Linked DNA regions of Callithrix jacchus. The protein of the gene in region 7 interacts with the protein of the main gene of each other region in a pairwise test. Links are inferred from orthologs where the notes say so. Each region holds a gene or a part of one and is shown on either strand. Other genes may lie near its edges.

Region 1 (3,766 bases), on a different chromosome or scaffold from region 7:
TGCTGTCATTTGCCAAGTCTTTTGTACAGTCAGACTAGTCTGGTATAAAGGATTTTCCCAACTTACGCTGGATCCTTGAGAAGGCCTATAAATAAGACCATTTGTTTGGTCTCAAGATGACTTGCATTTGCAAACTGAAGAATGTTCCAATAGAAGTTTGATGGTGACACACCAATCTGCAAACTGGCTCAGCCAGTAGTCAAAACAAGTCACTATGAGATCTGGGAAGCTGAAGACTTTGAATGGGTCAGATTATCCTGCATCTAGTTTGAAACAGATAAATTGGAGCTATAAATATATAGCCTCCCTTTAGATTTTCAACTTGAATGATCCATAACAAATAGGGGATATATGTACACACCTAAGGCGACACAGAACCATGAGAATATGATGATCAAACTGAAATCACTTATTTAAACTGGAGTTCTTTTTATTACAATGAGTAATAGTTTACTAAAAATTGGAAAACATGGTTTGTTCTTCAATGAATACAAGATCACTTAAATAAATCCAAACATCTGTAGTTATAAGCAGGAAATCGAGCAATGTAAGATGTTTAACACTGGGAATGACAAACACTTACAAGGCATCTGATTTTCATAGGAATTTGTGTAAATAATTCAGGGATCCCAAAGCCAAGTGCCTATAAAAGAGATAGGTAATACAATTTAGGAATGTGGACCAGGTGAGTGCTTGCCCCAGATAAGGAAGAAGCTGTTAGCCAGCAATTAATAATGCCAGCTGTTTCATATTTTCAAGAAAAAAAAACAGAAATCAGAGTTGTATTCTAAAACTTCCCTGATTTTAAAAAAATGTTGCCAAGTAGTTCAAATTTCTTAAGAAGCTGTGAGCCAAACAGAACAAATTCAGGGGCTGTACTTAAGCAGCAAGCCACCAGTTTGCACATTTTACCATGTCACAAAAAGTGAGCTACAGCTCTGCATGTCTCCAAAATGATAACCCAAACACAACCCAGCTCTTTTGGAGGCCAGCCCTGAATAGCTGGGCTCCTCCTGAGGTCACATCTATCATTGTAGTTGTTCCTTCTAAAATAGACAGTTTCCTCCTGCTAGAGATTTGATTTGATGGTGTCAGCATATGAAGTTCCCGTCATTTCATGACATGTCTTCTTTCAGGCCTGACGGAATCGGAACTGTGACTGTTGAAGAAAAGGAGCGTTTCGAAGAAATCAAAGAGAGACTCCGAGTTCTGCTGGAAAATCAGATTACACATTTTAGGTAAGGATCTGGGGCTTGAGGGCTTTGATTAGGAGATGAGAGTGGAAAAAGATAGAGGGCTTAATGTTCCAAAACTGTAAATCTACCAGAGGATAAGTTGGATATTTGGAAATAACTGAGTAGAAGAAGCAAACCAATCAGCCTTGCTTCCGCAATAACCAGGAAAAGTTTGCATTCTTAAGTTTATGTTATTTCCACTTAAAGAACAAATCCTGCCATGTTCGAGCTGACCCTGGTCATCAATCTATTATAGAAAGTTGGATTTGAAGTTTCTTCAAAGTTCCTAAGTTAAAAAACAAAAATTCTTGCAAATCAGAACATAGTGAACAAGAAAGGAAGGCAGTGGTACTCCTAGGAGAGTCTTCGTTTTCTCCCCTACCTCAGAAACACGACTAGCTGGCTGCACAGGGAAAGAACGAACCTTGGATCCACCTGGGTGGATTGAAACTTCCCTGCATACTCGAAAGAGCCAGCAGATTCTGCACTTGAGCCTTACACCACATTGCCCACTTCTCCCTTGGAGCAAATTAGGTGTTTTTAATGCTGTCCTAGTGGTTCTGGACCAGAGATCCTGAAATAGAAACTGAAAAATAATACTAGCATTTCTAATGGTCCCTATTGATTAAATACTTCCTATATGCCAGATACACAACTGGAGGCTGGAGAAGTGTTAGCCCATGTCAGAACAGCTTTGTAAAGTAGTTATCATAATCCCCATTTAAACCAGGAATAAAACGAGACTAAGAGAGGTTAAGGAACTTGCCCAAAGCAAGCCAGCCAGCAAGTGGAAGTGGAATGCTTACATAAGATAGTCTGTGTTTAAGTATCCATGCTAGTCTCTCTGTCCCATGTGCAGTGTCCTGAAGGGCCAGTGACAACCTGAAACCAGTCACTGGAACTCATAGTGGTATCTGACATAGTTTTTTCTGTGCCATCAAAATCCTCCTGGATAAATCTTTATTGATCTTACATTATATGTAAAGTGCATTACCGGTAGCAGAAGATCCATAACAGTAGCAAACCGTAAGCAGGGAAGGACAGCTAGCAGAATCAATAATTTGCTCTAAATCCACTTTTCTATTCCATATATCAATCTTTTGGGGACTTATGTAAATGTATTTGAATTTGAGCCAATTCTAACTAATACTTTTTTAACGCCAGTCTCAATAATAACATATAAGGTCACATTTGAGCTAACGAATAGTTCTCCTTCACAATAGAAATCTAAACAGAGCCTTATGTCACCACTCTGAATATTCTTTTCTGCTACAGACATTTGCAGAGTCCCTCTTTAGTCATTATTCACACATACACATATATACATTATATACACACATATATGGTGTGAATTCAGATTAACATAACACAACGTGACAAAATAAAAAGCATTTTCCATTCCTCAGAGAGAGTTGCTATAGGAATCAAATTGCAGCATATTTCATGCTAAAATGTAATAATTTAGGCAACCTGAAGAATTTTGTCTTTTTTAGGTATTGCTTTCCATTTGGTCGACCTGAAGGTGCTTTGAAAGCTACTCTCTCACTCTTGGAAAGGGTAAGAATAAAAGTAAAAGATAGATCATGTATATATAAAGAGACATAAACATAATTGTAATGAAATGTTTTGGTTGAATGACCTAGTTGTAATTTTTATAGGATTTGTTTACCATTCAACAAATATCAGAATAGAAGGGAGGAAACTGCCAAAACTCATGATATTCTATCTTCAAACTCCCAAATAGGATATACTGAAGATATGTTCCTAGCCCTTCCCTGATTCATGGACAGCCTTTGCCAATGCTTTGCAGTTCTGGTGCTTTCTCTTTAAGCATGGCTCTCAATCTGTATTAAGTCACAAAGAACTGATTTTAAACTTGCACACTTCTAAGAAATGTGGATGAGTGACACGTTTGCTTGAACCTTCTTAATAATCCTTCTTTTTTCTACTCGAAGGTTTTGATGAAAGATATTGTTACCCCAGTGCCACAAGAGGAGGTAAAAACAGTCATCCGTAAATGTCTGGAACAGGCTGCGTTAGTCAACTATTCTCGGCTCTCAGAGTATGCCAAAATCGAAGGTAAGGCTCCCTTCTGCCCCCAGTTTTGAACTTAAATTGTGATATGCCTCCCTGGGGAAGTCTTTCTTTTTTCTGAAGGGCACCTGAAAACAGTGGTCTATCTGAGTATATTAAGCTGAAACCTGAAAGTACTTGAAATGTGGAAGCCTCCTTGGCTGTGGCCAAGTAAATGAATTAAAAGACATTACAGGGGCTCAGAAAACAGCCTTTGTAAGGGAACAATATTGAAAATAAGATGTTATCAGATAACTAAGTTCCTTCTGAGAGTCTGTGTTGGTCCCAAATATCGGCTCTGTGGCTGATGTTTTCCTATGAAGGGGTTCTGTAGAATTGCCACCTTCTTTAAACAGAGGAAAATAAAGCACTCTGTTGTCTGTTGCTGATAGCATTGGAAGTAATACAAGAACTGAAAAGAACAAGATCAAGGTTTTGCCTAACTCTTTCTTGCCCCC
Region 2 (4,446 bases), on a different chromosome or scaffold from region 7:
GATACAGCAAAAAATAAGACATGCTTTCATGAAGACTAAATACTAGATAGGCAAGCAACAAGGAAGCAAATAAATTAAGCTCATTACAGATCGTGAAAGAGGCTGGGAGGGCAATAATTGGAGTCCTATGATAGAAAGTATCTGGGAAGAACCACCTTAGGATGTTCGAGGAGTGTCTGACATGAGATTTGAAGAAATCTAAGAAATTAGCCCTGACAAAAGCCATGGGTGGGAGGAGGGGTCACTCTAGGCAGAAGGAACATCAAAGGAAAAGACTCAAGAAATAACTTGGCATATTTGAGGAAGAGAAAGGAGGCCAATAAGGTGGGTATCTGGCAAGGAAACAAGTGGTAGGAGAAACAGGAGAGGTAGCAAGAGCCAAAACATGTAGCATCTTGCAGGCCAGGTTAAGCCAACTGGATTTTAAGCTAAGAGCAATGGGAAGCCAAGGAGAGTTTAAAATAGGAACACGGCATGATTAAAAAAAGAAAAAAAAGATTATTTGGGTTGCTGGATGGAGAACTGGGAGGCCAATAAAGAGGAAACTGCAGTCACTCAACTGAAAGGTGATGGTGGCTTGGACAGGGGCCATGGCCATGGAAATGAAGTGGACAAATTTAAGATACAGTCCGAGGCTGAACTGACTGGATTTGCTGATGGACTGATGTGTGCACATAAGAAAAAGGCAGGCTTTGCTTTATAACAAGTACTGAGACTGGAAAAACGGAGGAAAGGATAGATTTAAAGGGGAAAACCATGAGCTCCGCTTTGCCTGTGACAAACATAAGAAGCCTATCCGATATTCACGTGGGGAAGTCAGGTGGGATCCCACTGTGGAACTCCGGGTGAGACTCCGCTTAAGTGACCATTCGGGAGTCACCACACTGCATCACTCTACGTCCTGGTCCGTCTGTCTGCCTTCCTGGGACCCAAATAACTGCCTTCTCCACTTTCAGCCCTGAGCATCTGCGCTGTATCCTCTGGGCAACCCGGAGCGGAAAAACGCTACGCATGAGCTTGGGTCGGGCGAGGCTCCCGAGGAATCGCTCTGCGTGCGGAGGACAAAGGGACAGGGACAGAGCGGAGGGCCGGACGCGGCCTGCCGAGCTGCTCCCGCGGCCGCCGTCACGTCCCCGCGGCGTGGAAGACGCGCAGTAAACTGCATCCTGTCTCCACGTCTGGCCTCCCACCCCAGCCTCCCGGCCTCCTCCGCCCTGCTGCGGCGTCTCCCGCTAAGCCCGCTGGGCCTCGCTCTCACCCTCCTCCTCCTCCTCACGCCGGGCCTTGCTCTTGCCCTTGGACTTCTGGCTGCGCGGTTGGCGTCCCCGCGGCTCCCCGCCGGCCGCGCGCTTCCGAGCCATGTTGTTCTTCGGGGCAAAATCCACTTCGTGAGTGACGCACCTGGCCGCTGTGCACCAGAGCGCGGGCTCCGCCCACAGGCGGGCGCGTCTAGCCCTGTCCCTTAGTTGGAGGCCTAGCCACGCCCCCGAAGGAAGCTCCGGCGATACCCGTGGCCACCAAAAACCACAGGAAGCAGGAAGGAGAAAAACAGATTTCTCTCTACTTCCGGTGTATTATATCCTCCTGTTTCCGGAGATCCGCGTTGCTCTTGTGTTCTCGCGAGAAGCGGGAAAGAGCGCAGGGTTTGAAACATGGCGGACGACGTAGACCAGGTGAGTGTACTTTAAGGGGGTCGCTTCGAGCAGCTTCGCGTACTAGGGCTGGTTTTCCCAAACTTAGGAAAAATGGCCAGTCGTGTCTCCTCCTTCCAGGTCACCATGGTCCAATCCGCCCCGTCCTTTCCGTAACCGCCCCCTGCTCCGAATTTTGCTGCAGGCCCTGAGATCTTTTCCGGTTAGAAGCCCACCTGACTACTATTCATCACACTCTTCAATTCATTTTTTTAAATCTGTAAATTATTATCCTTGCCTGCCTCACGGAGCTGTTAGGATTCCAATAGAAAGCCTGATGATGAAGTTAGAAGTTCATATCATTACTGAGCGCAACCATTATTTATTCATTTAGCATATTTAGTGAAATTCAGCTTTGTATGGTTAGACACTATTCTAAGGGCCAGGGACACTGACATCGACATAGAAGTGATCCCTGCCATTACTTGGAGCTTATATTCGTGAGGAGAACAGATAAAAGTAAATATAAATATGTAGGAGACATAGGAACTGTGATGTGATGTGAAGGAAACAAGGAACTAGTTTGCAGAATAACAGATGGCCCTAGAAGCTTTTTCACCTTGTCTTTCTCTTCCTCAAATATCTTTGGAGATCAAGCCACAAATTCTTAAGCTTTCTACTGAAATCTCACCTCCTCAGAGAGGACTTCTCCTGCGCCAGTAGCACACGCTTTACTCTTCTTACCCTGCTTCATTTTTCTTCAGAGCGCATTATTATTTCGTATTAAATATATGCATCTGTTTTTAATGTATAACCCTTCCCACTAGAATTTAAGTGCCATAAGAGCAGGTTTTTTGTTTTGTTCTTTCTTCTGTCCTTAGGGTTTAGAACAGTGCTGGAAACACTCAACAAATATTTACTTAATGAGGCCTCTTTGAAAAGTCAATATTTAAAGCTACAGTGGGCATCGTAGACAGAGGCTTAGGTAGCAGTAGGGTTCTGTCGTGTGCATATTTTGACAGTATTTAATTATTTATTTGTATGCCTCTCCACATTACAATGAGCTCCTTGAGAGTGGAGATTGTGACTTCTATATCGTTATAATCTAACAGTTGGTTATCTGATCCTTTAACAAACACCTGTTGAACTAGGGAAGTAGGGATCAGTCGAGTCAGGGTTTTGTTTTTTCTCTCATCTGACCTTTTGAAGCTTTAGAGCCTGTTGCATTCAGTCACCTTCCTCCACTGGCCTCATGTACTTAATGAAGATCTACTTGAATAGTCTTTCTCTTAATGGCTGCAACCATTCGACCCCAAGTCATCCTAGCCCTGACCTCTAAAACCGACGTTTCCAGCAGTTCTTTAATAATACTAATAGGAACCATTTCTTTTCTTTTTCCTTTTTTTTTTTTTTGGACAGAATCTCACTCTGTCATCCAGGCTGGAGTGCAGTGGCACAATAGATCTCAGCTCACAGCAACTTCCACCTCCTCAAGCGATTCTCCTATCTCAGCCTCCCGAGTAGTTGGGACTACAGGCGCGTGCCACCATGCCTGGCTAATTTTTCTGGTTTTTTTTTTTTTTTTTTTTTTTTTTTGAGACGGAGTTTCGCTCTTGTTACCCAGGCTGGAGTGCAATGGCGCGATCTCAGCTCACCGCAACCTCCGCCTCCTGGGATCAGGCAATTCTCCTGCCTCAGCCTCCCGAGTAGCTGGGAATACAGGCACGCGCCACCATGCCTGTAAGTTTTTGTATTTTTAGTAGAGACGGGGTTTCACCATGTTGACCAGAATGGTCTCAATCTCTTGACCTCGTGATCCACCCGCCTCGGCCTCCCAAAGTGCTGGGATTACAGGCGTGAGCCACCGCTCCCGGCCAATTTTTCTGTTTTTAGTAGAGATGGGGTTTCGCCATGTTGGCCAGGCTGGTCTCAACTCCTGACCTCAGGTGATCCGCCTGTCTCAGCCTCCCAAAGTACTGGGATTCAGGCGTGAGCCACCATGCCCAGCCAGTAGGAACCGTTTATTACTATTTTCTGTTTACCTGGCACTGTTGTAAATACATTAACTACTTTAAACTTCTCAAGAACCCAGAAGGAAGGTTGTGGCCTCCTCAATTACAAATGAAGAATCAGAATTACAGATGGCATGATTTTTAATCTTAGTTCATTAGAGTCAGGTCACAGCCAGGAGTTGAACCCAGACTGCCTGACTCCAAAACCAGTGCTTTCTTTTTTCAAGACAGAGTCTCACTCTGTTGCCAAAGCTGGAGTGCAGTAGCACGATCTTGGCTCACTGCAACCTCCGACTCCTAGGCTCAAGCCATCCTCCCCCCTCAGCCTCTGAATAGCTGGGACCACAGGCATGTGCCACTGTGCCTGGCTAAGCCAGTGCTTTCAACCAGCGTTTTATACTGTCTACTAAATATATTCATCTTACTGGCCAGTTGGCAGCCTAAACTCAACCTGTGCTAAATTCATAATCTTCCCATTAACCTACACCTCTACTTAGCATTCTGACTAGTGTATGGTAGACATTGAGTGAGTGTTTTTCCAACGATTACATAATATTTGAGATAAAGCTAAAGTCCCTGAGAGCCCATACCCTGAAATTGGGTCAGGCAGTTTGATTTTGAGGGAACAAAGAATAGTCATGATTATTTTGCTGTGTAACTCCTTTTTGTGTATGTGTGTTTTAACCTACATTTATGTAGCACATATTATATGAAAGGCACTGTTCTAAGCCGTCATAGATATCACTTAAGCCTCACAACAACAGTATTAGGTAGACACTGTTATCTCCATTTTATAGCTTAGG
Region 3 (3,766 bases), on a different chromosome or scaffold from region 7:
AAATGAAAGATCATCTAAAGAAAGAAAAACACCATTACATTGAAAGAATAGTCTCACCATTTAGTAAATTGGGATGCCATATTAACAGTCATATTTTAATTTGGTGGGGCAGCATTGACAGGTCACTCCTAATCCAATTACTCGGTCAGTTTAAACTCATTAATAAGTTTAATTAGTTATTATTGCTTTATTCAACAACTATTTATTAAGCATCTATATGCAGGCATTATGCTAGTTTCTGGCAATGTCGTAGGAATCAAGGTAAACATGCTCCCCCACCTCGTGGAGATTAGAATCTAGTGGGGAAGACAGAGATCAAACAAGAAATTCCAATGCAATACAATCAGCGTGTATCAGTCCAGCCTCACAATGTAAAGAAATACCTGAGACTGGGTAATTTCTAAAGAAAAAGATGTAATGGGCTCACAGTTCTGCAGATGTATAGGAAGCGTGATATCGACATCTGTCCTGCTTCTGGGGAGGCTTCAGGAAACTTAAAATTATGGCAGAAGGCAGCTGGGTGTGGAGGCTCTTGCTTGTAATCCCAGCACTTTGGGAGGCTGAGGTGGGCAGATCACTTGAGGTCAGGGGTTCAAGACCAGCCTGGCCAACTTGATAAAACCCCATCTCCACTAAAAATACAAAAATTAGCCAGGCGTGGTGGTGGATACCCATAATCCCAGCTACTGGGGAGGCTGAGGTGGGAGAATCGCTTGAACTCAGGAAGCGGATGTTACAGTGAGCCGAGATTGCTCTCTACTGCACTCCAGCCTGGATGACAGAGTGGTACCCTGTCTCAAAAACAAAACAAAAAAAATCATGGCAAAGCAAAGGGAGAGCAGCACTTCACAGGTCTGGAGACAGATATGGAGCAAGAGAAAGAGGGGTGGTGTCACACACCTTTAAACAGCCAAATTTCAGGGCAACTCACTATCAGGACAACACCCAGGGGCATGGTGCTAAACCATTCAAGAGACCTGCCCACGTGATCCGGTCACCTCCCACCAGAGGCCCCACCTCTAGCACTGAGGATTACATTTCAACGTGAGGTTTGGGCAGGGACACAGATCCTAACCATATCACAGTGTTCTTAGGGGAGAAGTAGAGGAATGCTTTGAGAGCTTATTGCAAGGAATCTAACCCTCCCACTAAAAATACAGACCAGGCACCTCGAAGCCTTTTCTCTGGCCTACCCTCTTCATCTAGGTTGGCAATCCAAGAGCAAATCCTGAGTCCCCAGGGATTTTGGTGGCTGCGCAAGAGTAAGGCTGTCACAGCCAAACCCATGATGCGTTTACCAAGCACAGTCTCTCTCCATTAGTGAAGCAGTCCATGTTGCTTTGTTTTCCTGGTAAACTCTTAACAAGCTTTGCCTCCCAAGGGAATGCTGGGGGTGGGGGCCCTTGGAGGAATTATTGAGATGGGATGACTTTATGGATAGCTCGTCAGACAGGTCTAAGATAAGCTTGCTTCTAACCTGAATATAGATACTAATGTTGTACCAACTAATTCCAGGGAACCTGTTCAAATGAATCTGGAAAACCTAGATCACCTTTAGTCCTTTGAATTAGATGGATGGGGAAGGACCATTTAAGCAAATTGTGAAATTCTAACTTTAAGCAAAAAAAAAATATGTGTATGTATCCTGAGTCAGATTGGCATCACATTCTAAAACATGGGTTTTGTTTATTTCAGAATGTTCTCATTGTTGAGGTAAGCTGGCATTTCCTTTTCCACACTTGGAGGTTGAAGGAATCTAACAGCGAGTAAACTGTAAGCCTTGTTATCAAATTGACCAAGGATTTCTTGAGTTCCCACTGGGTGCACACTCTCCAAGTTTAATGAATAGGGGCCAACTAGCATCCCGGGTTTCAAATAATGTAGAATAAAAGCTTTGCAACAATGCTCGTGGAGGAATTCATCCTTTTTTGTATCCAGTTCCACATATCTCTGTGTTGATTTTTACACCTCTTTGTGAATCAGACAAGTTTAAAGAAGAAGAAACTAGCTCACCAAACCAAGTTCATTTCACAGTAAAACCAAGGTTAAAACTCCATTTACCCTGAATTCAGTGTTTTTGCTAAGGACGTCTAATGATTTTGAGAATTCTCTAATACTTTCAGCATCAAAATCATAAACACAATCAATTAAAATGGCAAGCTATGGGGAAAACTATAGTTTTTTGTGTGTGTTTTTTTTTTCTTTTGTCTTTCTATTTAAAAAGAGAGACAGAAAAGACAACTTGGGAACCCTGTGGCAGTAGTGGACCAATACAGCAAATGGCTACATTTCCTTCAGGAGCGCACTTGTCTCATCAGACTGCAAAAAATTCAGGGGAACTGTTTTCAAGCTTTTGTTACACAATTGCCTGTGTGTGCCATGTGTATCTGCAATTCTTGCTCCATATAACCCACAGAGTAGACCCTCTCACCAAATGAATTGCCCAGCCCTGGCTACATTCAGACCTGTTGTTTTGATAATCAGCTCGCGACAGCTGATTCCTGTCCTCAGGACAATAAATCGCCGCTGCCCATTCTCCTCTAATTGTGCAGCAGCTCATCAGCAGAGATGAGCCTGAGCTCGCTGCAGCCGTGGACCCTCAGAATTCACAGGCTGTCAGCAGCTGCTGTCCAGACACCTCTCACTTCCCAGCCATAGAATCCCCCATTGAGTGGAGGAGGACAAGGGGGAGGCATTTATCCATTCAGTGTATTCAGATGTACATATCCATGAAAATTCATGCGCCTTGTATTGTGTTACACAACCTCAGGGACAAATTTAGTCCCTGAATGCGCATATACAAGTCCAAATATACTCAACGAGGAGTCCCTCATGCTGTCCAAAGGCTAAATTTGGCCCTACCACACAGCTAAAGGATTCAAGGAGGAAAGAATCTCCAGTAGATTCCCCAAACTCAACTTCCAGAAAGAAGTGCTTGTCTAAATAAAACATAACCAACTCCTCCTACTACTTTGACTCCAAATTGGATGGCATTTTTAATTACAATGCATTATTAATCAGGAGTATCTCCCTGGATGAAAAGTCTGTGATGCTGCTCAAATGCATTTTGTTGAATGTATCTGTCCTTTCTACAAAGGATGTTGTTGGAACTGGGAGGACCATGAACGCACTCCTCAGCAGTATAGAGAAATACAAACCCAACATGATTAAGGTAGCCAGGTGAGTCGGATATTCAGAGCATGGTGATTTCTGCTTTTCCAAGCAAGTTCAGAAGGGATGCTAACAGAGGACGCTCTAAGAGTATAATGTATTCCAAACTAATGCCCTTTTCCCCTGGGGTATTACAGTTTGACCACACTGAAAAACAGCTCTTGACTGCTAGCCTGAGAGAAGAAAGGGAAGAAGACGTGCTTTGCCGTGTTTCTGGGTGCCTTCATTAGCTGTTTCCAGGAGCAGCTAAATGAGCCTCCCTGCAATTGCTTTGCCCGCTTCTTTTCCTTTTTTTTTTTTTTTTTTTTTTTGAGACAGAGTCTCGCTCTGTCACCCAGGCTGGAGTGCAGTGGCACAATCTTGGCTCGTTGCAATGTCTGCCCGCTGGGTTCAAGCAATTCTCCTGCCTCAGCTTCCCAAGTAGCAGAGACTACAGGCGCCCACCACCATGTCCAGCTGATTTTTTATATTTTTAGCAGAGATGGGGGTTTCACCGTGTTGGCCAGGCTGGTCTTGAACTCCTGACCTCAAGTTATCTGCCCACCTCAGCCTCTCAAAGTGCTGGGATTACAGGCATGAGCCACCACGTCTGGCC
Region 4 (4,238 bases), about 9.1 Mb from region 7:
CCTCAGTGCAAAGCAACCCTCTGGGTTTCCAGCCCGTGCCTCAGGAGGCCAGAAAGGTGGCCTGGCGGCAGGGAGAGAGGTCGCCAGGGGTCTCTGCCTGGCCTAGAGGTCCCAGAGAGGACCCTCCTCCCCTCAGGAAGGTCTCTCTGGAAGGGTAGCAGAGGACTGGTCCCAGGAAGAGCATGCCACATGCTGTTTCTGGGGATGCCTGGAGTTGGTGATATGGGAACTGGGTTTTGAGGGATGCCTAGGAGTTCATCCATCAGAGGGGAAATGAGGAAGCCGTACAGGATCAATGGCCTAAGTGTGCTCAGGTGAGGGCTGGCTGGTGGGCACTTCAGGGTGGGCACTGCTGGAGGGCACTGTCCAGTGCTCCTCCACTTACTTGCTGCCTCCCAACTGCTGTAATTACGGGTCTGTAAGCACCCTGGACTGGGCGCTCCTCACTGACAGACTTGTCTGAACCTCTCTGTCTTCAGCACCCGGCAGTGGGCCTGGCAAAACGCCTGGTACACGTTGGTCAAATGAATGAACCAGATTCAGACCGACAGGGGCGCTGTGGTTTAGGAGGGGCCTGGGGTTTCTCCCAGGAGGATTTTGGGATCTCCCCGGAGGGCTCTGGGCTCCCGTTTGCGCCTGCAGCCTGCATCCTGGTCCTGCCTTCATCATGCCTGAGTTTCTTTGCTTTCCTAGTCTGGGGAGCAGGGAGGAGCCCTGTGCTCTGTCCCAGGATCCTTGGGGAGGAACACCACAGACAGGGAGAGCAAATGGGGCCATCTGTCACCAGGGGCTTAGGGAAGGCCGAGCCAGCCTGGGCCAAGATGGTGAAAGGGGCTGCCTGGAGGAGGCAGCCTGTCAGCTGGTGCAGCATATTAGGGAGGCTGGGAAGGCCTTTTGGGGAAAGAGGTGATTTGTCTAAAGGCAGGGGGAGGTGGGAAAGGGGGGTGAGCAAGGCAGCAGCTCTCAGGGCCTGGCTGTTGGGGTGGCCACAGCGGCAGGGGCCGCCGGCTCTGAGCCAGGAAACTGTTCAATTACTTGGCAGCCTGAGTGTTTTGGGGAGAGGTAAGGCAGGCCGGCACATGGGGGTCAGGGAGCCTAAAGGGATGGCAGCTCCCCTGGGAAGGCAGGTGTGGTGGAGCTCAGGCGCATGCGGTGGGTCTCGGGCTCATTCGGGGCGAGGAGCTGTCCTTGTCCAGTCACGGCCTCATACACAGCTCCCTTTACTTCTCCCAGAGGCTGTGGTCAGGTCAGCTGGGCTCGGGGATCAGCGGCCTGAGAGGAGTGCGTGAGCGTAGAGGGAGCCTCGGGCACCGGGCACCATGAGCGACGTGGCTATTGTGAAGGAGGGTTGGCTGCACAAACGAGGTCAGTGCCGGGGCTGGGCCTGGGGAGGGAGGGACGGGGGTGGCCGCGGGGTCTGAGTGCCTGTACTCAGGCCTGTTGGCTGGGACAGGCTGCCCCCCCCCCGGGGCTCCTGGCTGGCCTAGGGTGAGTATCTGGGGTCCCATGTCTTCCCATAGCTTGGAGGGCCTGGCCTAGGGAGGCTGGGAGGATGAGGCCCCGTGCAGGGCCAGCCATCACAGTGGTTTCCTGGTGCAGGCCCTTGCAGGCAGGGGAGCTGCTGCCAGCCTCTCTTTCCTGGAAGGCGGTGAGGACGCTGGGTTGTTCCAGTGCCTGGCACGCTGGCGGCCCGGGGCACTGCCCAAGGGCTCCTGAGGGCAGGGCAGGGCAGGGCTGCTTGGCTTGGCCTGGTGCCTGCTTCAGGCCTGAGTTTTGGGGGTGGGGGGGAATCCGTACCACATGGGCACAGGGTATGTTTGCCTTGGAGCTGCAGAGCTGCGTGAGCCCAGGCCCCCCCAGCCCCTGAGTCCTCCTCCTCATTTGGCCCTGCAGCCCATGGAGAGGGTGCTGGCCGAGGGGGCCTGGCCAGAAACTGGTGGGATGGGAGCTGGGGCCACAGCCTCACCCCTTCCAACCCTGTGCAGGCCCTTCTGCCTTGCCCACCGTCCATGCTCAGTGGGGTGCAGAGGAGGCTGGATGGCTGTCAGACTCCTCTGTCCCGCTGGGGCAGGTTCCTGTTCAGGTCCAGGTCCTTTGGACCTGGGGCAGTTACCTTCTGCTTCTTTTTCCAGACCTGTTCCCTCCTAAGTTCTAGTGATCTCATGCCAGCAGCCCACCCCTCTTTACATACACCCTCTAGCAGATGGATTTCACATGTGCTAGTGGGGAGACCCCAGACACAGCTGGAGCAGACAGGGAAGACTGGCAAAAGTGGGTGTCACAAGATGGGGCATTGTGGGATGTATAGGAGCTCACTGCAGAACAGGCCTGAGAAGCCACAGGAGCCTGGGAGTGGGGTGAAGGAGTGACCAAGATGAGATGCCAGGGGTTTGGGGGTGTGGTCAGCTGTGGGTTTGGAGTGTTCGAGTGGGCAGCTACCAGGATGGCACGCGGGACCTGGAGACAGAGACAAGGAGGCTGCAGAGCCTGCAGTCCTTGGGGAGCTTCTGACGTGGCTTGCTGCCCAGCATACCGTCTCCATCCCCCGCCCTTGCTGTCCCTGCTTGTTCCCCAGGAGTCCTGTTCCCTGTGCCTGGAGGTACTCTGTTGCCTTGCCTCACAGCCCTCTGGTGTCGGGGACCCCCTGCTCCTATCCTGTGCCTCTGTGTCCCGCACGCCCTGCTGCTTGGAGCTGCCGCTTCCTCATCCTCGGCAAATGTTTGTTTGTTGATGGACTGTTGGATTCAGGGCTGACCCAGGAGATGCCAGGGCCTCGACTGCCCAGGGGCCCAGGCCCAGTTACTGGGGCACCCATCAGCCAGCTGGGCCCAGGCCGGGGTACTTGTCTGAGGCCTGGGTGAGTTTCAGTTTTCTGCTCAGGTCATACCTTCGGGAGGGGCCTGGCGGAGACGGGACATCAGGCCCAGTGGGGCATCCAGAGAGCTGAGTTTGACCCCTGTTTGCCACTCCACCACAGTGTCCCTTTCCAAGGGCAAGTTCATATAGCGCCTCAGGCCTCGGTTTCCCCATCTACACCAGGGTGCAGTGGTGGGAGGGAGACCTTGTGGTGTGGAGAATGGCTTGTGGGGTCCCTGAGTTGGGGTCCAGCCAGCGTCTGCAGCCTCTGGGCTCTGTCGCCTGGCCCCCAGCCTCAGGCCAGGAGAGAGGGTCCTGGACCTCTCCCCGCAGCTCTTCCTCCCCCATCCCCGGTATAGTGGGCACTGAGGATGCGAGGTAGCGTGGATGTAACATATGCCCTTGGCAGGCACGGCCTCTCTTGTTGCCGAGAGCAGGCGGGCTTCCACCTGCAAGGCCGGCCCTGCTTGCCGAGGAAAGCCTGTCCTCCAGGGCCTGCCTCGTTTTCCCACTCCCTGTACCCCGGGTCCCCTGTGTGTTGCAAATGTGCTCTGCCATCCTGCTGGCAGGGCCAGCGTACCCACAACACAGGTTGGAGGTGCCAGCTGTCTCCCTGTCCCTAGCAGGGCTGTGCTGGGCGGCCCCCACCCCTGCTTCAGGGCTCAGGCCTGGCTGGGGGCGGGAAGCAGGGAGAGTTGCAGTGACTATCCTCCGGGCCCAGCCACAGCCCCTCGCAGGTGCCCTTTGCTGCTCCTGGACTTTCCGCGCAGGGTAGGGCGCTGTCCCGGAGTGGGCCCTCGCCCGTTTCCTTTGCCAGGACTCCCCGCGGCCATGGCCTGGGGCACGTTGCTTCTCCGCTGAACTCCTAGGCGACAGTTCCGCCACGGCTGCTTGGGCTGGCCACGCATGACGTGATGGTGCCTTCGGGGGTGCTGTGGCCGCTAAGATGAGTGGGGGTGGCTGTGCCCTGTGTGTGAGTGGCTGGGTGGCCGTGTCTGCAGAGCCCAGGCGCAGCTCCTTCTCCTGCCTCTTGGGAGGCAGGTGTCGTCTCTGGAGAGTGGCCCAGGCTGCTTTCTGTTGTTCTGAGGTGTGTGCTCTGGGTCAGAGGAGCTTCAGGGGCAGAAGGGACCTGGCATGAGGACATGGGCGTTCCAGCTCCAGGCCTATGTGGACCTGTGGACCCAGGCGAGGCCTCTGGGCCTGACATCTAACAGGGAGGTGGTTCCTGGAGGGTGAGCTCAGGCTGCTGAGGGCACAGCGGGGCCTGTAGGGACGGGGCCGGACGTCCCCCACTGTGTCGGCTGCCTCGGGATAAGCAGCTGCAGCTCAGCTGTGGCCATTGGTGGCCGGGCCTGGTGGGCTCCGTGCGGCTCCGATGTTTG
Region 5 (3,589 bases), on a different chromosome or scaffold from region 7:
CCTGCAGAAATTAGCTGCCTTCCTTCTCCATAACTCACTGTCCCTTTTTCTCCTCTATCTTATGTCTAAACTATTTTATATCTTACAGTCTTACATCTGGATAAGAAAGACACTAACTTGGCTTACTATGCCAATACAGAGGAAATACTAAGTTCTTTAATAGGGCCTAATGGCCACATGCATTCCATCCTGAGTCTTGCCTCTTTTGAGCTTAAGCTACAGACCCTTTCAAGAAAAAAATCCCGACCAGGCACCACCGTGTGCTCAAGCCTGTAATCCCAGCACTTTGGGAGGCTGAGGCGGGTGGATCACAAGGTCAAGAGATTGAGACCATCCTGGTCAACATGGTGAAACCCCGTCTCTACTAAAAAATATACAAAAAGTTAGCTGGGCATGGTGGCGCATGCCTGTAATCCCAGCTACTCAGGAGGCTGAGGCAGGAGAATTGCCTGAACCCAAGAGGCGGAGGTTGCCGTGAGCCGAGATCGTGCCATTGCACTCCAGCCTGGGTAACAAGCGCGAAACTCCGTCTCAAAAAAAAAAAAAAATCCCACTGTCTCTCCTATAATACTGGAAGCAGTGACTTGTTACTTTCAGATAAGAAAAGGATTACAAAAAAAGTTCTCCTTTTTTTAAAATCAGAGGAAATTGAGACTAAATATAACCAAACTAATTCAAGTTCTTCATAGACATTTACTGAAATAGCTAGTATTACTTCATGTGCAGGGCACCATGCAAGGTACTTTAAATATATTGTGTTCATATAAGAAAGATATTAAGGAGATCAATCTAATTTTTCAAAAGCTAACAATACAAAATAATAGGAAAAAATCTTCAAAATGCAGAAGAAAATATTTATTCACAAATTACACAGTAAACAAACATCCATTACTCAAAACAATATACCAAATGTTGAGTACTCACTTCTCTAGAAACATATTTACTTTTCAAGAATGTTCTTTATTCTCAAAAAATACATAATTAATGTATTTTTTTGAGCGCTCTGAAACTAACCTCTCTAACCAGAGCTAACTTTCTGATGATATAACTTAGGGAAAGAATATTATTTTCAAGGCAAGTGCTAATTTCTCCCAACCCAGAAAAGAGATATGCATTCCAATAAAACAAAAGTTTTAAAAACTATCTTCATAAAAAATGTAGATCATTACTTACATGCTCCAGTAGTAGTAAGATGTTTAACACAAAGTGGGCTACTTTCATTCCTAACAAAGATAAAATTAATTTTACACCAATAATATCTTCCTGAGTGTCAGAAGTAACAGAACCCAACAGGTCTATATTATTGTACTACAATATATAGTATAAAAATAATAGTTCAGATTAGCAATGACAGTATTGGCTTGTGAATGTGATTGTGGTCTTTCAATAAAATACTTCTTTCATATAGGTTTCTCATACTCATGAGACTGTACTATAAATCACATTACATTTTCTATGTATTTTGTGCTTATTTACTCACTGGCATGCTAATAACGACTCTAATTTTTTATTTTTAGAAAGATATAATTGGCTATTTTAAATTATAATTATTTTTTATGTCACTGAGTAGTTTCAAAAAAAGTTACCTAGAAAAGTAATTCCCAATCACCAGATGGAAACATACAAGCAAGAAATAAGTTGTTTCCAGGGTTTTTAAAGCTTTGTAAAATAAAGAAAATAAAGTGTTGGTTTTGACTGAGATAATATAGCAGTACAGTTGTATTAACCTATCTGTAAAAGCCATTCATTTAAAAATACGTATTTTAAAAATGACTCATTTGTGGTAAGGATTACTTACTGTAACAATTAAAAAATAAAACCATCATTCTCATATTTATCAATACTTCACACTTCTAACAAGTACTGAAGGAGACAACTATCATTGATATACTTCAAAGTCAAAACAAAAACACAAATCAGGATTAAGAGAAACTTCAGAAAATGTTCAGAATGTACATATTTGCGTGCATTTTCAGCCAAACTTTCAAAGATTCCACATATAACCAAATGACAACTTTGAATCAAAATGAATGTCAAAAATACTCAAGCTTTCTGACAGAGTTACTCCAATGAAGCAAGGAAAAGAGCGTAAATAGTAAGAGCAGTATATTTCTCTGAGGGAGGGAAATCCCACTATCATAAAATAAAAGTTGAAACAGCATTTCAGTATCATTGGCCAAGTTATTCACTATTCAAGAATACACTTTTCAAGTTGTCTTTGAAATGTATTCATTTACATATTCAGATTAAACTAAGTTTAATAATCACAAAAACATTTTACTCAGAATTTTAACCTTGAGAAATATAAATCATAACTTATTAAAGCATACTGCAAACACTATACAAGAATCCTGCCTTTTTAGTTTTTATATGCCTCATCTGAAAAACTTATTTTACAACCAGGAGTTCTGCTATCTATCGCCAGAGTATGTGTCTCTATGTCAAAACTTCAAGTGGCAATCAAAAAGACAGATTCAAATAATCCTATGCATACTGCTTCATCGGGCTTTGATAAAAACAGAGCCATCTGGTGGTGTAGCACCATCTTCCTTTTCAGTTACAGTCTCTACAGCCCCAGAGGCAGACACAATGACCATTGTTTTATTTGCTGAAACTGTCTTCTCTTTCTCAGCAATAGCTGCACAAACAGCAACAATCTCATCACTTTCAAAATCATAGTCTGGAATTGACTTTGGTAAAAAGTGTGTTACTTCAGCTGGTGCTTCACTTTTTTTAATCCTCTGCGCTACCTTCTGCTGCTCCTGGAGCGTTCTTGCCCAAGAGAGGTCTTCCTTCCATATTTCAGGGTTCATTGGATAGATATGAAGGGCTACTTGAAAACTTCGAATTGCCTAGAAAATAAGGTCAGAGTTTTCTGTTTTGTTTTTAATCATTAGTATGTTTAATACAATCCTCTGTGTGTGTATGTATATACTGTACACATATACATCCTAATGTATTATTTTAATATACTAGAACACAAAAGATGAAAGCTAAGGTATTGCCCTAAACATTAGGAAAAAAAATTACAGAAGTGTGAAAGAAAGTGACTGATAATACGCCGATGGACTAAAAGTCCTTAAAATGGGAGTTCTCATAATAGGGCTCAGGATAAAGCAAATATATTGTCAGCTTCTGCAGACCAGTAAACACGTACATTTGGGGATTTCCTGGGCTAACCCACAATCACAACGGCACCAGGAGCGGATATCTTTGAAGTTAACAGTTTAGATCCTAACAATGTTAGCATTTATTGAATGTTTACTACATTTTAGGCACTAAAGATTTACATGTATTGGGCCAGGTGTGGTGGCCAAAATTTTTTTTTTGTAAATATAGGGTCTTGTTATGTTACCCAGGTTAGTCCAAACTCCTGGCCTCAAGCAATCCTTCTGCCTCATCCTCCCAAAGTGCTGAGATTACAGACATGAGTCAGCATTCCCAGGCCCTCAAGTGAAATTTTTAAAACCTTCAATCATCTACCTTTTGTCTAGAAATGATCACTTGTCCATCCCAATACTATAGGGATAATTATCATTACAAAAGTGAAACAATAAAAAGAATCAAATGATGCAACTAAAATTTCTAA
Region 6 (2,942 bases), on a different chromosome or scaffold from region 7:
CCCAGGGACTGGGAGCGATTCTGTGTGTGGGGAGACCCACCGAGCCCTACAGGAGGCCATGGAGAAGCTACAGGTGAATGAGTCTCTCCTGGCAAGGGCCAAGAAGGGTGGGGGTGGGGCAGGTGGCTGACGAGATGTGACCCCATTATTTTGGCTCCAGAGCCGATTTATGGAGCTCATGCAGGAGAAGGCAGACCTGAAGGAGAGGGTAGAGGAACTGGAACATCGCTGTATCCAGCTGTCTGGAGAGACAGACACCATTGGTGAGTGGGAGGCCAGGACACAGCAGGAGAAGGTGCTGTACAACAATCAGAGGGAACCCAGCATCTGAGCCCTGTTCTCCTGTTCTCCTGCAGGAGAGTACATCGCACTATACCAGAGCCAGAGGGCAGTGCTGAAGGAGCGGCACCGGGAGAAGGAGGAGTATATCAGCAGGCTGGCCCAGGACAAGGAGGAGATGAAGGTACGGTGTGGAACATCTCTGTGGGGTGGGCACAGGCACAGGCACGGGCACGGCAGCTGAACACCCCTCCCTCCAGGTGAAGCTGCTGGAGCTGCAGGAGCTGGTGTTACGGCTTGTGAACGACCGAAATGAGTGGCATAGCAGATTCCTGGCAGCTGCCCAACACCCTGCAGATGAGCCCAATCCAGGGGCCCCAGCCCCCCAGGAGCTTGGGTCTGCCAACCAGCAGGGTGGTGAGTAAGAGCCCTCGGGAGGTGTGGGCAGGCAGGAGCAAGGGAGGGCTCACATGGTGCTCAGAGCCCTGCCTCTCTCTCTCCAAAGATCTTTGTGAGGTGAGCCTCGCCGGCAGCGAGCCTGCCCAAGGAGAGACTGGGGAGGGTTCTCCTCGAGACAACCCCACTGCACAGCAGATAATGCAGCTGCTTCGTGAGATGCAGAACCCCCGGGAGCGCCCAGGCTTGGGCAGCAACCCCTGCATTCCTTTTTTTTACCGGGCTGATGAGAACGATGAGGTGAAGATCACCATCATTTAAAAGCTGGCCAGTATGAGCAAAGCCTGAAGAAGTGGGGCTAGAGGCCCTGCCCCCACCATGTCCCTACCATCCCTTCCCAGTCACCCCTTTACCCTTACAGTAGCAAGCATATGACCCCTGTCTAACGGGGGTAGACAGGTGCAGATGAGGTGAAGGTCACTGTCATCTAAAAGCAGGCCTCTAAATTTTAAAAAATTAAGTGATGGGACTAACAGTTATGGGATAAAAAAGTTATGGTATAAAAGTTACAAAAAATGGCCAGGCATGGTGGCTCACGCCTGTAATCCCAGCACTTTGGGAGGCCAAGGCGGTAGATCACCTGAGGTTAGGAGTTGAAGGCCAGCCTGGCCAACATGGTGAAACCCCGCCTTTACTAAAAATACAAAAATGAGTCTGTTGTGGTGGCGTGTGCCTGTAATCCCAGCTACTGGGGAGGCTGAGGCAGGAGAATCGCTTGAACCCAGGAGGTGGAGATCGTGCCACTGCACTCCAGCCTAGGTGACAGAGCCAGACTCCCATCTCAGAAAAAAAAAAAAAGTTACGGGATTAAAATGTCGGGATAAAATAAAAATAGGCCACTGTCAGCAAAGCCTGGAGAAATAGGGCTGGAGGCTCTGACCCCATCATGTCTCTGCCCTTTACTCTTACAGTAGCAAAATAAGACCCTTGTATAATGGGGGGAGAAAACATGCAGACCCTTTGCCACCTTGGCCCGGGCTGAATCCTTAAATTTCTGGATGATGAATATTGTTATTTAAAAGCCAGACGATTATAGAATTGGCTTGTTTGGAGGAGGCCTAATGGCCTCCTTATTCTCACCAAAGCAATTTTTCCCTCAGGGGGGTTCCCATCTTCTTACACTGAGAGGCAGCTGAGGCAGGACAGTGGGGCTAACCGTAGAACAGGTGAGGGCATGGGCTGCTGGGGTGGCCCGGCTTCCCCAGTGTATATATTGTATCTGTGTAACATTTTGTATATTCTGGGGGTAGTGCTGCCCCCTGTATCATACCTAGCAGATGTTGGAGCTGGCACATGGGGAGGAGGTTCTAATAATTATTTGGGGCTGGGAAACTTATTTATTGATAGCATAGGACAGAGAAGGAGGCGGGGATGGGGTCGTGGCGCCCTGGTGATGCGACTCCTGTTTATTTTGCTTTTTATTTCGGAATAAATGGATTTAGCCATACTGCTTGGCCTGCCATGTTCCTGTTTCCCTCACTGGGTCCTGGAGTTTGTGCCACTGAACAGGAAGCCCCAGAGTGTCTGAGCATGTGCAGCTGGGCTGTTGGGACCTTCCAGGCCTGTAACCTGTCTGAACTATGCTGCCTGGTGACACGTGGGGGATTCCATGGGGACTGCTATGACACCTACAAGGGATAGTCCAGCCCTTATGGCCAACAGGCTCAGATGCCTGATCTAGCGGTGGCCGAGAAGGCAGGGTGCCAGCACCCAAGGGCACTGACTTCCAACCAGCCCAGGTGTCTTCTGTTCCATCTCCCTGCCTCCCTTGTCTGACTGCACCTGGTGGCCTGTTGTGACTGTCCCTCCTGAATGCAGGCTGCCCTGCAGGCTCCCTCCAGGCTGAGTTCATGGCCCTGCCCCCTAGTGGCCAGAGCCAGCTTCACAGGATGAGAGCCAGCTAAGCTCCAGGGGCTTTCCAGGAGGAGTGTCTCTTGGAGAGGATGTGGTCTTTTCACTGCCCCCAACAGCACCCTAGACATGGCTTAGCCCTTCCCCTCCCCTGAGCTCCAGAGAGAACACAACCAGCAGAGGAGACATTCCCCATTATCCAGAAATGGGTTTTATTCTCAGCCGAGGGACAGCAGGACTGGTAGAGACTGTCAGGCCACACGGCTGCCTGCACAGCACCCCCATGCTTGGTGGGGGGTGGGAGGAATGGCGGGGGCTGGCTGTCCACAGGCCGGGCATGACAGGGAGGCTCACTG
Region 7 (4,563 bases):
TTTCCCAGACACAACGATCTGATTCTTGCTCCATTGTTTGTAGCCTTCTGGGTCCTAGAGCCACTGATGGGGCTGGGTCAGTGGCCACATTGGCTCCTGGGGACCCCTTCCCTGGCCAAAGTCCATCTTAGCAGCACTATTTTAACTGGACTTGTTATTTCTTACCTCAAAGCTGTGGCCTGGGATGAGACCTCCCCAACAGAGCTTGTGACGTTTTCATCTTGCTCTGTAGCTATCTGGGTCTGAAGTCAAGAGCCATTCACAGGAAAATCAGTCTGAAACCAGTAAGTTTGCATATTAAATATTAACAGCACTAAGGGCTACAGTGGAAAAAAGGTTTGCTGGGCTCAAGGACCCTCACTCCACCCCTAACTTCCCTCTGCTTTTCTCTTCTATTTTTGTGTTCCTGGTAAATTCCCTTATATCTCAGCTATCTTAGGCCACCTCAGCCCCTTCTTGGGAATTAGGTTGTCTGGACAGGCAAAGAGGCAGATACCCGGCTGCCAGGTGAATCAGGTGTCCTCATCAGGTCTCTTCATATCCACTTTTGTGACATTTCAAAGAATCACAAATTATTTTATTAATGCCTAGCCAGAGAGATGGGAAAGAGCTAGAAGGAGGCACCGAACTCCATCCCGTGGTGATGTTTGAATCAGGCTAGAGCTGGTTTCACCTGTTTCTCATGCTTACTTTCTTAATTGCCTCAGTGGGAATGCGTTACTGCAAAATAAAGCGAATTGTTTTCCTTAGTGCTTCTAATTTACAGAGAGATGGTTTTGATCATATAAACCAGGTACTTTTCAAATCCACTGATCTTAGGGTGGAAGGAGGGGTTTAAGTATTCATTTTGAACTATGCTTTCACTAGCAAATTCAAAGCCCAAAGGGAAACACCCATGTTTCTCCACCACATTTTGTAATACCTATTAGATGTCCACAGCATCACCGAGCCATAGAAAACGCATGCTTTGTGTATGGAAGACGAAGGGGGAGAGTCAAGAGTTGCACTTTGCCAAGAAATGTACTCTGACGCTTAAAGGCCCAGGCTGGGAGCGATCCAGCGAAGCTTGGAAAGCCCAGGCCTAGCTCAGGCCCGCGTGGGTCTCTTCTGCTCCCAGAAAATGTGGAAGGGGTCCCGGCTCTGGGCATCCTGGTGTCGACTGTGAGTTCCCAGCAGAGGCCCAGACTCCGGGGTCCCGCAGCGAAGGGAGCGGCGGGGCCTCCCAGAAGAAGAAGGGGCTACCGTCACCCCAGGTGCCTCTCTAGCAGCGGAGAACGGCGGTCGGGGTCGCCGCGGGCCTGCTGGGCCCAGGTCTGCGTTCCCAGGCGCTGCCAGCGTTCCAGGGAGCAAGTCAGGCTGCGTGGGACCCTCACTTGCCACCACGACCCCCACGAGCCCCGCCCCATCCTGCCTTACGCCCTGCGCCAAGGTCGTCGTCCCGCCCCAGAGCCCCGCCCCAAGGCCGTCCTCCCGCCCCGCCGCTGGGTGGCGACCGCAAGCTGCCTTGCTATAAAGCGTGGCCCCATCGCCCAGGGACCAGCGAGCTACCTGGAGAGACTCTGGCTCTTGCTTTTTAGAGAATCCGAGGGAGCCATGGCCCAGGAGCAGTTACGCAGGGAGTCAGTCACCGACCACCCGGACCGCCTGTGGATCTGGGAGAAGTTCGTGTATTTGGATGAGAACCAGCGCACCTGGCTGCCCTTAGTCATCAAGGTACAGCCCGCTTTGGAGCGGATGGTGAGGCAGCAGGGGCAGCCCCAGGAGCTTGGGAGGCCCCAGGACGGGCGAGGCCTAGAGGAGCACCCACTTTGGGGCAGGGAGGCTCCCCACAGATGAAGCCACTTTGAGCCGGGTTCTGGGCTTTTGAACAGGAGTTCACCAGGCCGCGAAGAAGGGTGGGAAAACCACAAAGGAATGTCGACCAAAGGATGGGACCTGTGAGTGTGACTATAATGTTGACTACAGCAGGACGTTTCTGGGCTTCGGGGTCCTAATCCTTAAAATGGGTATTTCTAAAGTAAGTGACTCATTCATATGGCCAATCATCGGAATCATCTTAGGCGGGTCCCAGAAATCTGTATTTTATAAAGAACTTTCAACAGCTTAGGGTCATAGCAACCACTGCGCTGGAGTGTGAGGTATTTCCTATTTCCTCTGTGCTTTATTAAGAAGAACAAATTTAGGCCGGGCGCGGTGGCTCACGTCTGTAATCCCAGCACTTTGGGAGGCCGAGGCGGGTGGATCACGAGGTCCAGAGATCGATAGCACCCTGGTCAACATGGTGAAACCTTGTCTCTACTAAAAATACAAAAAAATTAGCTGGGCATGGTGGCACGCGCCTGTAATCCCAGCTACTCAGGAGGCTGAGGCAGGAGAATTGCCTGAACCCAGGAGACGGAGGTTGCGGTGAGCCGGGATCGCGCCATTGCACTCCAGCCTGGGTAACAAGAGTGAAACTCCGTCTCAATTAAAAAAAAAAAAAGAAAAGAACAAATTTAACGAGTCTAAGCACCAGTATTGAATCAGTATTGGCTTTGTTTCATATGTGATACCTTAAAATGCGTCTTTAGGTCATGTTACGTTTTTATTAGAGAACTATAACTCTTTTACAAGTATTTGGATTTACTCAATGAAATAGTCAAAAATATTCAAACTCTTTCCAAACATACACTGCAGAAAGTATACAAATTTAAAAATATATTAGAACATGTATGTAATACAATAGCAAACAAGAGTTATTGAGTGTTGACTGTGTCTCTACAGATGGGAAACTGAAGCACAAAAATATACATGTGCCCAAGGTAGGACTGCTAGTAGGTAACGGGGCTGGAATTCGAGGCTCTTCAACCACCAAAATTTGCACTTCTATTGGCATTTAAATTTTTTTAATATACATTTTTCTTTAAAAATCATGTCAAATGTTTACTTAAGTCAAAATTTGAAAAAATAATTTAAAGATTCAGTGAATTTCTTTTTTACAATGTCTGGTTGAGAAATCTCTTCTTCAACGTGACACCAAAATCACAAACTAGACAGTTTTTCACATAATCATGATAAATGGCACACAAAAAGTAACCCACTAGCAAACTGTGGGGCAGGGTTTGCCTCACACATTTGAAAAAGCCAGTATTCTTTTTCTCTTTTTTTTCTTTCGTCTTTTTTTTTTTTTTCTTTTTTTTGTAGAGACGGGATCTTGCTCTGTCACCCAGGCTAGTCTCAAACTCCTGGCCTCAAGTGATCCTCCTACCTCAGCCTTCCAAAGCACTGGGATTACAAGTGTGAGTCACTGCAACTCGCCAGAAAAAAGTGTGCCTTTCATGGCCCTTTCTAGGTGGCTAGACACGTGTGCATGCTGGTGGTCCTGGCCCAGCCAGAGTCCCTGTGAGGATCATGCATGGCTAAGGAAGTGAGGTTCAGGGGACAGTGATGACCAGCATTTCACACTCAGACCCCTCCCCAGCTGGGTGGGTGGCTGGCAGGAAGGACTCTGGTTTTCTGTGTCTGGAGGAGCCCTGGCAAGCGGATCCTGAAGGTGTGCCCTGTCCTTTTCTTCTTCTCAGAAGGAGGATAAATTACAGGTGTTCTTTCGTCAGGAAGTCACCCTCCTGGGGAAGCCTATGACCCCCACCCAGATAGGCCCAAGCCTGCTGCCTCTCATGTGGCAGCTCTACCCTGACGGACGATACCGATCCTCAGACTCCGGTTTCTGGCGCATAGTGTACCACGTCAAGGCAAGTGTGTTTCTCCCAGGGATCTATGGGGCGATCTTGGGTTTCCCCTCCTCAGTGCCTGGCCTCAGTGGTTTATCTTCCCTCCATCCCAGTGCCAAAAGCATTAAAAAATGGGGGAAATGTACAACTGTGGATTTCTAAAAGACTTTACCACAGAGAAGATAGCTCCTCTGAGGTCTCTAACAGAACCCTCCCTCTATTCCCTGCCAACCCCCAGCCTGGCCGCAGGAAGCCCCCTTTGGTGGGCAGTCACAGGCTGAAGGCTACAGGGAGGAGGGCAGTCTCCAAGAGCCCCTGAAATCCTCACACTCGGGTTCCCACCTGTTATTCCCAGCTAGGGGAAGGCACAGGAGTGAGAAATGGAGGGAGAGAAGGGCTCCGGCTGATCAGTGCCCTCTCTCTCTCTGCCTCTCAGATTGAAGGCCTGGAGGACATGCTTCTCGAGCAGCTGCCAGATGACTGAGTGTGGCATGGTGAGTTCCACTGGGACCTGACCCCTCTTAGTCCACAGTGGCTGTATCAGAAGGAAAGAGCACCCCTTCTCCGTGAGGGCAGTGCTAACCCCTCCCCGACTATTGCCTTCTGAGGGTCCTGGGATGGGAGAGGCTTCCTGGAGGCACTCATGTCTCTCCCTTACCACTGGGATCCAGGAGCTTCGCAGATGCATATGGCCACCTTAGCGCAGCTGCATGCATCTGTACAGGGCTTCACAAGTTGCGGCCAGCACTTTGTCAGTCGCTTTCTTAAATTATATCGACCAAGCCAGATATTAGATGGTGTTATTGCGTTCTGAGGAAGTGGTCTTCTGACCATAAGCCCTCTATCCTGTTCA

Evidence for each region.
Region 1: the proteins of TCL1A (region 7) and CADPS interact in a two-hybrid assay, tested with the Homo sapiens proteins (3 studies listed by BioGRID and IntAct). The two-hybrid records come from large-scale screens. The link is inferred for Callithrix jacchus from reciprocal best matches to the Homo sapiens genes TCL1A and CADPS.
Region 2: the proteins of TCL1A (region 7) and LSM3 interact in binary tests that used the Homo sapiens proteins (3 or more experiments, as listed by UniProt). The two-hybrid records come from large-scale screens. The link is inferred for Callithrix jacchus from reciprocal best matches to the Homo sapiens genes TCL1A and LSM3.
Region 3: the proteins of TCL1A (region 7) and PRTFDC1 interact in binary tests that used the Homo sapiens proteins (3 or more experiments, as listed by UniProt). The two-hybrid records come from large-scale screens. The link is inferred for Callithrix jacchus from reciprocal best matches to the Homo sapiens genes TCL1A and PRTFDC1.
Region 4: the proteins of TCL1A (region 7) and AKT1 interact in binary tests that used the Homo sapiens proteins (3 or more experiments, as listed by UniProt). The link is inferred for Callithrix jacchus from reciprocal best matches to the Homo sapiens genes TCL1A and AKT1.
Region 5: the proteins of TCL1A (region 7) and TTC33 interact in binary tests that used the Homo sapiens proteins (3 or more experiments, as listed by UniProt). The two-hybrid records come from large-scale screens. The link is inferred for Callithrix jacchus from reciprocal best matches to the Homo sapiens genes TCL1A and TTC33.
Region 6: the proteins of TCL1A (region 7) and GOLGA2 interact in binary tests that used the Homo sapiens proteins (3 or more experiments, as listed by UniProt). The two-hybrid records come from large-scale screens. The link is inferred for Callithrix jacchus from reciprocal best matches to the Homo sapiens genes TCL1A and GOLGA2.

What each region holds. Positions count from the first base shown.
Region 1 is NC_133516.1:44,309,765-44,313,530, reverse strand, and holds part of CADPS (calcium-dependent secretion activator 1), read left to right. Parts: intron 1-1,136; coding exon 1,137-1,238; intron 1,239-2,728; coding exon 2,729-2,792; intron 2,793-3,190; coding exon 3,191-3,314; intron 3,315-3,766.
Region 2 is NC_133516.1:71,157,338-71,161,783, forward strand, and holds the start of LSM3 (U6 snRNA-associated Sm-like protein LSm3), read left to right. Parts: upstream 1-1,611; 5' UTR 1,612-1,652; coding exon 1,653-1,673; intron 1,674-4,446. Other genes in the region: XPC (DNA repair protein complementing XP-C cells), read right to left, coding at 1,259-1,361. UniProt on the Homo sapiens protein: Plays a role in pre-mRNA splicing as component of the U4/U6-U5 tri-snRNP complex that is involved in spliceosome assembly, and as component of the precatalytic spliceosome (spliceosome B complex).
Region 3 is NC_133508.1:25,235,949-25,239,714, reverse strand, and holds part of PRTFDC1 (phosphoribosyltransferase domain-containing protein 1), read left to right. Parts: intron 1-1,695; coding exon 1,696-1,713; intron 1,714-3,097; coding exon 3,098-3,180; intron 3,181-3,766. UniProt on the Homo sapiens protein: Has low, barely detectable phosphoribosyltransferase activity (in vitro). Binds GMP, IMP and alpha-D-5-phosphoribosyl 1-pyrophosphate (PRPP). Is not expected to contribute to purine metabolism or GMP salvage.
Region 4 is NC_133509.1:139,660,042-139,664,279, reverse strand, and holds the start of AKT1 (RAC-alpha serine/threonine-protein kinase), read left to right. Parts: upstream 1-1,235; 5' UTR 1,236-1,319; coding exon 1,320-1,365; intron 1,366-4,238. UniProt on the Homo sapiens protein: AKT1 is one of 3 closely related serine/threonine-protein kinases (AKT1, AKT2 and AKT3) called the AKT kinase, and which regulate many processes including metabolism, proliferation, cell survival, growth and angiogenesis.
Region 5 is NC_133503.1:164,859,645-164,863,233, reverse strand, and holds part of TTC33 (tetratricopeptide repeat protein 33), read right to left. Parts: intron 2,853-3,589; coding exon 2,499-2,852; 3' UTR 1-2,498.
Region 6 is NC_133502.1:176,862,897-176,865,838, reverse strand, and holds the end of GOLGA2 (golgin subfamily A member 2), read left to right. Parts: coding exon 1-73; intron 74-160; coding exon 161-263; intron 264-356; coding exon 357-463; intron 464-539; coding exon 540-696; intron 697-784; coding exon 785-996; 3' UTR 997-2,182; downstream 2,183-2,942. UniProt on the Homo sapiens protein: Peripheral membrane component of the cis-Golgi stack that acts as a membrane skeleton that maintains the structure of the Golgi apparatus, and as a vesicle thether that facilitates vesicle fusion to the Golgi membrane.
Region 7 is NC_133509.1:130,524,704-130,529,266, reverse strand, and holds TCL1A (T-cell leukemia/lymphoma protein 1A), read left to right. Parts: upstream 1-1,529; 5' UTR 1,530-1,593; coding exon 1,594-1,737; intron 1,738-3,578; coding exon 3,579-3,731; intron 3,732-4,146; coding exon 4,147-4,194; 3' UTR 4,195-4,309; downstream 4,310-4,563. UniProt on the Homo sapiens protein: Enhances the phosphorylation and activation of AKT1, AKT2 and AKT3. Promotes nuclear translocation of AKT1. Enhances cell proliferation, stabilizes mitochondrial membrane potential and promotes cell survival.